Drosophila melanogaster: one gene and its partner. Changing the gene in region 2 together with the main gene of any one other region gives a genetic interaction. Each region holds a gene or a part of one and is shown on either strand. Other genes may lie near its edges. The genes, in order: Sema5c and kug.

Region 1 (4,891 bases), 7.9 Mb from region 2:
GGTATCACTACCAACAAAATTAGCATATTTGGCCACTGTGTCTTTTCGGCCAAGACAAGAAACGCAGGCCGCGTCGACAATGGTTTAGGTAGCCGTAAATTGTCATGGGCTGGCAATGTTTTGGGCCTATGCTAATGTCGATCGTTGTCTGCCCACACTCAACTTTAACTCCCGGATCGAATTGAAACGGATTGGACGGATGGCATCGGTCCTCATGTTTGTGTATCCCTTGGGTTCGTGCTGTGGCATAAACAAAATCCGAGGATCGTGTTGCAGTTGCATTCAAGTTGAGGTTACTGCACCTTCGGGACGGTCCATTTGATGGTTTCGTATTTGTTCTCAGCGACCAGCTGTGTTTTCACACTTACTCTGGGAGTCAAGGCTGACAAAGATCTGAATAGTACAGCCTGGGATGTCTGCAGTAAAAGGAAAACCTTGGAAGGAACACTAAAAAAATAGAACAAAGCCCCACCAGGTGAATGAGCAAAACTAATCCCGTGAAAATGCGTCATATCTGTTGTTGTTCCTTAAATAAGAACTTTATGGTGTTGGACTTGAGATGAGTGATTCAGGTACTGTAAACTGTTGTACAAAGCATTAAAACACCGTTTATACTTCATTATGATAAAGAAATAATTAAATAAGTGATAAATCATTCCTTTTGTATCAAAAATATACTATACTATCTATCTGTATAGAATGAGAAAATCTATTAAATCATTTGTTTTGGCGCCATTTCTATGATTTGCTAATCGAGTATCTTTGCTGATGGGCAAAAACGTCGCAAGGCGGAAAAGATAGGATCTGTTGATCCCTCGTCTGGAGGAATATATCACGTGTCCTCGAACCGCGACGTCGGCAATACTAATGTCAATTTGTCAGGCTACCAAATCGAAGCACAGCAAGTGCCCGTCCCACCCTCCAAGTGGCTTCTCTATACCTCTTCGCGGAGCTGCACATCCCGATCCCGATCCCGGAGATTCAGATTCTGATTCTGAAGAGTCGTTCTCGTTGTCGTTGTCGCATGATATATGAGCGCCCTGCCCAGTTGCTGCTTCGGCTGCCGTAGCCGCGCCTCTTAACTCCCAAGCAGACACTGAGAGAAATTCGTACTTACTTTTGTGGGATGACTTGAAAAATAAATTTGGATTGCTATTACTATCTAAGAGACTTGCCCTTAAATTATTCGATTTAACAAACAGTTCAGTTAAAATAATAAATTACAAAGATGAAAATAAGGTCTTTTAATTATTTTATTATTATTTTTTATTTTTATTTTTACAGTTGAATTATATTATATATAGTTTTTAATTCATTGGATTATTTCATAGGTAAGGACCTCAAAACTATGCTACACTTCTGTGTACTTATAAATTTTATGAATTAAGGCTTGAAAAGTCTTTAACATTTAAGATACTAGCAGAAAATCATTAAAAACGAATACACATAATTCTGAAAAATATTTCTTGAATAAATTATGTAAAATATATTTTCGTTTTTAAATTTTGAATCAAAGGAAAGCGAATTTTAAATATTTTTTTCCTTGTTGTATTGCACATTTTTTCCGAGTGCATTCTTCAAGCCGAAATTGAGCCGGTTATCTTCGTCGGCGTTTTAGCCTGTTCTCTCTTGTTTGCCTCGGCGTTTTTTTTTTGTTTTGCGTTCGTGCTTCGTTTTCACGTTTTTGTTTTCGTTCCATTCGCTTCTCTGTCTCACTCTCTTCTCTCTCTATCGACTGACTATGGATCCGAATCCGAATCCATGGTGGGTTCAGTTTCTTGCGACTCTTTGCGCGGTCAACTTCGCCGATCGGTCGGGCATGCGCGTCCGTATAACTCGTATCTGAATAATCATAAGAGTAGGAAATCGAGGCAGAAGTAAAAACCCGTCTCGCTATATTCGTCGACCGTGTTGTTGGTGTCTATCTGTGTCTTTTGTCAATGTTTTTAACCCAACTCCACTTGAGGGGGAGCCAATCCGCCTTTCTTCTGAAAATTTCTTTCAAATAATACGAAAATCGTATGGAAAATTGAAAAATTGTGAGTGTTGTGTGCAAAGTGAACCACGGTGATCGTAGTTACGGTCAGATCATCTGAAGAATCAGAAACACGCGCCTTGCTCGATTCCCCTGCTTATCAGGCACATGCCTATATTATACAATTTACCAACAGTCTTTTACAATCTGTTCGCCGCAAAAGTTGAATGGAATAAATTTTAGTCTTTTATTTTGCACGAAACGTGACACTAAATGAAGTAAGTTTCGACTATCTCATCTGTATAATCGACGTTTTTTGCTGTTTACAATTTTTGTAATATTTTTTGAGGAAGTGTAAAGTGCTGCAACAAAAACTTATTACTAATCTTCAGGACAGATTAAGGGGTTTCTGTTAAATAGTGAAACATAATTCAAAATGAAATATAATTTAAACTTATTTAAAAGCTAGTGTTTAAGGAATTATTGAAGACAATTTTAATTTAAAAAATTTAAGAACTGTTATTTCTGAGTTGAAAAGAGGATAAATAACATTTAAGAAGAAATTGAGTTAGCGTTTGTTGAACGTCGATAATTAGTTAAAAATGTATGAAAAACTATATTATATCCACAACACACATTACAACTTCATTTCTTTTCTTTTTGCAGCATGTTAATACTGAAACTTCCCAAAATGTTTAGCCAACTGTGGCTTCTTCTGATTCTATCGCTCTTAACCCTAGAAGGCCCACAGCCTTCGACGGGCAGTGGTTATACGACAAAATCAAGTGTGGATTTGCTGGAAAACGATTCGCGATACATCTCATATCAAGGTGAGTTCTCGAGGTGGGCGGATTATCAAAAATTACTCGAAACTGTGTCAATTGCACGGCAATCAATCAAGTTGGCCACTTGAAGCGGTGGAACTGTAAATTGGGTTGATGTCTGTCAAAGTTCTAAGTGATTCCGAGAGTCTGCTGCAATCGATTGCACAAATGTTCGGTTCGATCGAACAGGTGCCATTTCGAATACAACGAATACACCCATCTGCCCAACTGTTTGTATTTGCACGGAATGTCAACAATGATCTCGATTTAACCGAGTTCCCCAACAAACCGCTTTTATGACACCCCAATACATTCGTGTATCTGCTGCTTTTAATCAGAAAAAGTTTCGCATTTTGTTAAAATATTTGTTCTTTTTTTGTGATTTTTGCACTGAAATGTATCTCGAAGTCCGTCTTAAAATGCGAACTCAGCCCAACGTTGTGTTGACAATGATTTTAATTTTTGTTTAGCGCTTTTTTATTTTATTTCGCACTTAAATATTGAAAAGTATATGTTTTACCAATGAATCAGTGAATCTTTTAAAAACCTTGAAAAATATGGGTTAAATAAAATTGAGCTTAATTGTGCCAAGATGCCAAAATGTTTTAATAAATTTGCAATATAATTGCTGAGATAATAATTGCTTATATAATAATTGCTAATATAATTGCTAATAAAACTTCAATTAAATTGCTTAGTATTTGTTTTTACGATTTTGTGCAATCTTTTTCTTACAAAAATGTTTTTATTTTCTTAACAGATTTAATGTCGACGGCCAAACGATTTTACGATCCCGAAACGACCTGGTATTCGGAAATGCTATTCGACGTGGCCAGGAACCAAGTGATTGTCGGCGCCAGGTAAAAACCGGGAGGCTATTGTTATTAGTTATTATAGATTTTGTTTCCGGCCAATTGAGTCACGGCTAAGCCGTGTACCTAGTCATTATGACTGTTTTTATTTTTCCTGTTGCGTCAAAACCCCAAAGATATGTACTGTTTGAAGGACTTGCTTTTTAATTAGTCTCACCGATAAGTGGGTCATTATTTTGGGCATTGATAGCGATAAGAAATGAAAAGGGAAAACACCCCCGAAAATAAATCGTCACTTAAGCATTTGTTAACTTTGGGTTATCAGCAGAGAGGCATTACGTAAAATTCGACGATCAGAAGAAAATAAACAGATGCATTGCGTACGTAAAACGGGTACTGATTATATTCGTCTTCTGTGTTTTTTTAGCGTATTACGCAAGTTACAAAAAAATACACAAAAGTGTATAAAAATGAAAGTGCACGCACTGGTATACCAAAGATTTTTTACATATCAACCAAGATCGACCAAAAACAAAAAAAACCCCTCGTCGAGAACTTATCTCAAGTACCTGCTGTGCGCAAGTGAATAAATAAAGATAATTGAGTGTAAAAAAAAGAATAAAAAAATTAAGAAAAGAGGGAAAGGGAACAAAACCGAAAAGGTAACCAAATAATAATATTGCAGCGCCGAGGGAGAAGTGGTATACTCCGTTTATTTGTTGAGCAATTTAATATACGCGTTTCGAGATACAAAAGTATCTGTCGCTTTAGCCGGGTTACTCGGTTCTTGTAGTTTACTTTTCATTTACGCGTCTTGAAGTTTGTTTGTTTCTGCTTCGCATAGATATGGATGCGATACTACTCCACCTCTGTCGGAAAAAAAAACACGATAAGATACACACATGGACGCATGTGTCTATAGTGTCGTCATGTTGATAAACCCACCTTAACCCATTGCTGCCCGGGAAGGGAAGTCGTTTATCATGTTCCCTTGTCGTCAATCATTTGTCATACTTTTCAGTTTCAGTTTTAGTTGCCTTTTCTATTCTTTATTGCCTACGATTTTCACTTCGACCATAACTCCACTCTGCCATATTTTTTGTTGCTCTCTTATTTACCAACCTCTGAATTATGGCATAATGATAAGAGCCCGATATTAAAAAAAAAAAAAAAGAAAACCGTTTGTAGCGAAGGGCAGTTGCTCCATATAGAGGGAATTATGGTGCTGCCTGTAAGTAGGCGGCCAGATAGGCAAGTGGGCTTTATTAACCACATAAAAC
Region 2 (5,173 bases):
TATCCCCTGAAGTCGTGCAAAATGCTAATCAGACCAATGCCGTGAGCCAAGTATAATGGCTTGTCAAATAACATTGTCACGGAAATAAAAGTTGTAAAATAATTTCTACCTGTTCATTTTCAGCCTAATTATTGTAGAATGTTAAGTTTTAGTGTCGACCAAAGAGTGGATAACAGGCTTGAAGGTCCTATAAATGCTGTATGCTGTATTTGCAAGTAAAATCTAGCTTCGCTTGGTATTTTTTTTATCGTAATAATACCGACTTTGTTATTTTACGGTCGAGGGAAATTTACATGAAAATCCCACCAGATGGCGCGTTTGATAAAATCGATTTTATCGCAGGAATGCCGTATTAAATTGCCCAAGTTTCTATAAAATATAAATATATTTTGATAAATAGTAATAATAATACATAATAGAAAAAAAAAAAATAAAACATAAAAATCTGCAGAAGGCAACAAATTGCATCTAACAGTGAAGTGGAGCATTTTCCTAGCCTCACAAAATATTTAGCAATAACAAATACATTTGTCTAAAACATGTAACAAGTCAGACATATGCATGTTCTCCGCAATAAAGCTGGGATATTTTTACCAGAGAGGGTCAAAGGACTCAATAACAGAAGGGGAAATAGGGGTGCTCCATGCTCAAGCTGGTCCGGATGAGCTCGAAGTTGCTGTTGGAGGTTGCAGCTGGAGGTTGCAAGCGCAGGACATGGCCCAACTCGTTAGGACCTCGAAACGAAAAGTCGAATCAGTTGAATTTCTGTTCTCATTGACTGCGGTTTAAGTTGCTTTAAATCGCAGTAAACGGTGTGCGTCGTCGGTAGCAATTGAATGAGAAGGGAAAGTATGTTTCAATCGAAAGTCGCGTTGTTCCGTTAATATGACTCGAGCTTAGGCGACGATACGCGAGTCGATAAATGTATCTGCGCCCATACGCATTTCCAGTGCAAGTGATGTTTATCTGTAAAATGCAGAAATATGTACGTATTCGTGTTGTGTGCCACAAATACGTCCGAGTTGACCAATAGTCCACGATAATATTGCTTTACATATAAGTGTAACAGTGAATTGGGGTTGCATAACCCCCTGTGGTGATACAGATAATGAGAAACCAAATATATCCAACCAAAAATCAGTGGAATAAACCACAACATACACCTCCGCACAGGAAACTTCTGCGATGGTCTGGGCTACATTTCTTGAATTGCGAAGCCATTGCAATGAGGATTATGGGAAACCAAAGGGTTCCATTCCTTGTATACGTCCTAGTGATTTGTGATATTTTTAGGGGGCATCAACCTTAATTGACACCCAAATATATTGCCAGGGATCCATGTTTTTAATGAAAACTATAGCATTTAAATAAAGCTGTTTCCAAATTTTGATACAGTTTAAAGACTTTTTTCACATATCAGTTTGATATGTTCCTTTAGAAGAAACCAAAGCAACAACAATATTGTAGGCGAACCAAATAAATAGGACTTCATTTTAATTAGTTAAGTGCTTTCTTTAAAATTGCACTCGACAAAAACCAAAATATTATTTTTTATAATATCTCCATATTACAAATTTTGTTGTTATCTTAAATGCAGCCCTTTAAAACGTAAGATAAAGAGTTATTCGTGAAGGAAATTATTTTGTTTCAGAATTTATTTTTATTGGCGAACATACAAATAATTTAAACATTTAATTAGTCTTGACAATTGGTTTTGACCACTTGTTGAAAGGTTATTAAAGCGATTTTTTTGTATTGTTCGAAAATTTTGTATTTATTAGACAAAGGCCTCGCTTAAATTCGTGTCAATTCGCGCTTAGCAGTATAATCGATCTGGAAATTATCGGCTACGCACTATCGGTGCTGTCATCGAGTCTCGCAATATTCGATTCTTGCAATCGATTTTAGCATTTTCAAGAGAGAGCAATAGCGGGCGGAGTTATCGGCGATCGTAGTTAGTGGTGCATATGTACATGCAGCTGCCAATTAATGTGAGTGTGTAATCCGCGTCTAGAGTTCCGGAAATCAGAGATGAATGAAAATACAAACCGATGAAAGTGATCGCCCCCGAAGTTACCGAGCAACCAGCGAAAACACCGAATATTAGATAGTTCCAGACAAGTTGTGGGATCCACTCTAAATTACAAAGGTATACACACATATGTACCTGAGTGCGTTTGTATGTGGACCAAACATTTTCCAAAAAGATATATCAACCGAGAATTGTGCATTTCTGTGTTTTAAGCCAATAAAATACCCAGTGCCAGGTGCACGAAGTTTATCACGGCGATTCGGAGTGATGTGTGTGCGTGTGTTTGTTTACTTACCTTATCGGAAAATTAGGCCCACGAAAAAGAGACACATGTTATCTTTGTACACCGATGTGCTATGTACATATGCATCGCCTATGTATGTATGTAAATGCTGCACTGCTATGTAAAAATTGGAGTTAGTGCTCGTAATGGTGTGACTTTGTGGACTGATTTTTGGAGTGAGAATCCAGAAAAGCTAAGAAGAGTTCTCAGACATTGCTTCTGAATAAACATTAAAGTTGAAAGCACTCAGTGATTCACATGGCCTGTGCTCGCTAACCCGTTTCGACTTCTTTTCATGCCTTATACATATGTACATACATATGTGTGTATTAGGGTCTTATTACTCATATTTACCTACGCGCCGCACCAATTTCGCAACCTTCACGTTTTCATGAATCGAAAAGTCGAAAATCTCGTAATTTCCACTCCCAACATCCCAACAAGTGGCTCCCTCAGTCAAGTGATTATGCTGATCTGCTGTGCTAGTGAAAATTCATTTTAAAAGTGTTACCTTCACGGTTCTTTAAATTTGTAAACAATAAATTTGAGACTTGAAAGCGACGTGTTATGAAAAATATTTCAAACACTTCTTTTATTCAGTTTTATAGGAAAAATGAAGCTTTACTTTTCACACGATTGGTTTATTAGTTTTTCTTATCTGGCAAAGGTGTCAAGTAAGAGGGCTTTGTGTCGTACAACCTAACTACATGGATATCAAGATATGGAGAAATTCCCGTTCCTTGTGATTATTTACAATTTGAAGACCATCCAGAATGTAGGGCATCATTACATTATAATTCGTTTGGAATTCGAGTAATTTATGGTGGCATTGGTAGGCTGTGTCTAAAATATTACTAATGAATAAAGTTCAAAGATAACACAAGTGCAAAATGAGAATTTCATGACATACACCCGTTTATCTTCAGCAGTTTTTTTTAAATGTTCTAAACGGTTATTGTCATATCATTCTATTACATTGAATTCTATTCGTGTTTCCTTAAAAGTGAATAAGCCTTAAAGATAGAAAATGTTTTGTTTTTGGAAGCAAAGTGAATTACATTAATCACGCATTTTCGAGCCAACTAATTATAGAAACTACTATAAATGACATCAGAAGTGTGGCTGATAAGCTGGTCGTGCCCCTTTAAAAAAAAAATCTAGGTCAAATCGATTGCGGAAGGCTTCTCTTACAATTTTACTTGACGCCCAATCATCTTTTGGGAAAAATTTAAATTTATGCTTGTGCCATATGAACAAGCAGTTTTTAAGAGTGACATTATTGAAATGTACTTATAATTTTACCTCTTTGTTTATTTATGTTATAATATTTACAATTTGCTTCATTTGTGCACAATTCTTAAGCCTTAAATCAGGTACATTGCAAAAGTTGTTAAGCTTAAACACTTATTGTCAGATTGAAAGGAAGGTGAACAGTGGCGCAAATTTGCCAAAATTAGAAGCTGAACAGTTCACTTAATAGACGACTATTGTTGCTGGTAGATATAATCGGTTAGACAAAATGGAGCACTTTAAATCAATTATGTAGAAGAAAGATTGCAAATTCCACCAAACGTAGAGATGCCCATCTCGTCCGCCGTTTGAAATGCTTTCCCATCATTGGAGCATTTCCACATTTTATGCGAATTATATGTATTATGTAAATGTATTATGTACCATAAAAAATGGTTAAAACTGGACGTGTTAAATAGCCGAATATTTGATTTCGCCTCGCAATGAGTGATTTACATTACATTGTGTTGTGCCTATCTGATTAACAATTTGTTTAATTACGAACATTAAAAAATTAAGATATTTCCTCGTAGGTCGTTAATATTTAAATCCCTAATTCTAAATTGAGCTTAAACCAATGTCTTCGGATGGGATTACCGAATTCGGCTTTGAGAAAACACTACTATAATTAAACGATGTTCAAAATAAACACTGCCTAACAAAATGATTACCATTCCGTTTACGTTGCAGGATATTATGTGAAATAAGAGCAGTATATGTTTACTATGAAGATTAAAAAATATGTAACTCCTGTAAAAAGAAAAGCTTTCACCATACTCCAATGGATTTCACTACTGTGTAGTCTATGGTTGATCCCCACTGTACAAAGCAAGGCCGATGAGAAGCACACGGCGACCCTGGAGTATAGACTAGAGAACCAACTGCAAGATCTATATAGGTTTAGCCATAGTGTATATAATGTTACCATACCAGAAAATAGTCTGGGCAAGACTTACGCCAAGGGAGTATTGCATGAAAGACTGGCCGGCCTGAGAGTTGGCTTGAACGCAGAGGTTAAGTATAGGATAATTAGTGGCGATAAGGAGAAGCTATTTAAGGCCGAGGAGAAACTGGTCGGAGATTTTGCCTTCTTAGCGATTCGAACGCGGACAAATAACGTTGTGCTAAACAGAGAAAAAACTGAGGAATACGTTATAAGAGTGAAGGCACATGTACATTTGCACGACCGAAATGTATCAAGCTATGAAACGGAGGCGAATATCCACATCAAAGTACTGGATCGCAATGACCTGAGTCCGCTGTTTTATCCGACCCAGTACACCGTTGTTATTCCGGAGGACACGCCCAAATATCAAAGTATTTTAAAGGTCACAGCTGACGATGCTGACCTCGGCATCAATGGGGAAATCTACTACAGCCTCCTGATGGATAGTGAATACTTTGCTATCCATCCAACAACTGGCGAAATTACTCTCCTGCAGCAGCTTCAGTATGCGGAGAACTCGCACTTCGAGCTCACGGTGGTGGCCTACGATCGGGGATCATGGGTGAACCATCAGAACCACCAGGCCAGCAAGACGAAGGTTAGTATTTCGGTGAAACAGGTT

The links.
Region 1: of kug (region 2) and Sema5c, changing one enhances a phenotype caused by changing the other (phenotypic enhancement), as found in Drosophila melanogaster (one study listed by BioGRID).

What each region holds. Positions count from the first base shown.
Region 1 is NT_037436.4:12,078,709-12,083,599, reverse strand, and holds the start of Sema5c (semaphorin 5c), read left to right. Parts: upstream 1-1,769; 5' UTR 1,770-2,248; coding exon 2,249-2,253; intron 2,254-2,641; coding exon 2,642-2,805; intron 2,806-3,559; coding exon 3,560-3,659; intron 3,660-4,891. UniProt on the Drosophila melanogaster protein: Regulates the motility of migrating epithelial cells by providing guidance cues within the migratory environment and may also play a role in development of the olfactory system. May act as a positive axonal guidance cue.
Region 2 is NT_037436.4:20,004,505-20,009,677, forward strand, and holds the start of kug (kugelei), read left to right. Parts: upstream 1-2,079; 5' UTR 2,080-2,149; intron 2,150-4,295; 5' UTR 4,296-4,321; coding exon 4,322-5,173. Other genes in the region: CG7668 (uncharacterized protein), read left to right, coding at 1-45. UniProt on the Drosophila melanogaster protein: Required for the planar polarity of actin filament orientation at the basal side of ovarian follicle cells. Required for proper egg chamber shape and elongation of the egg chamber during oogenesis.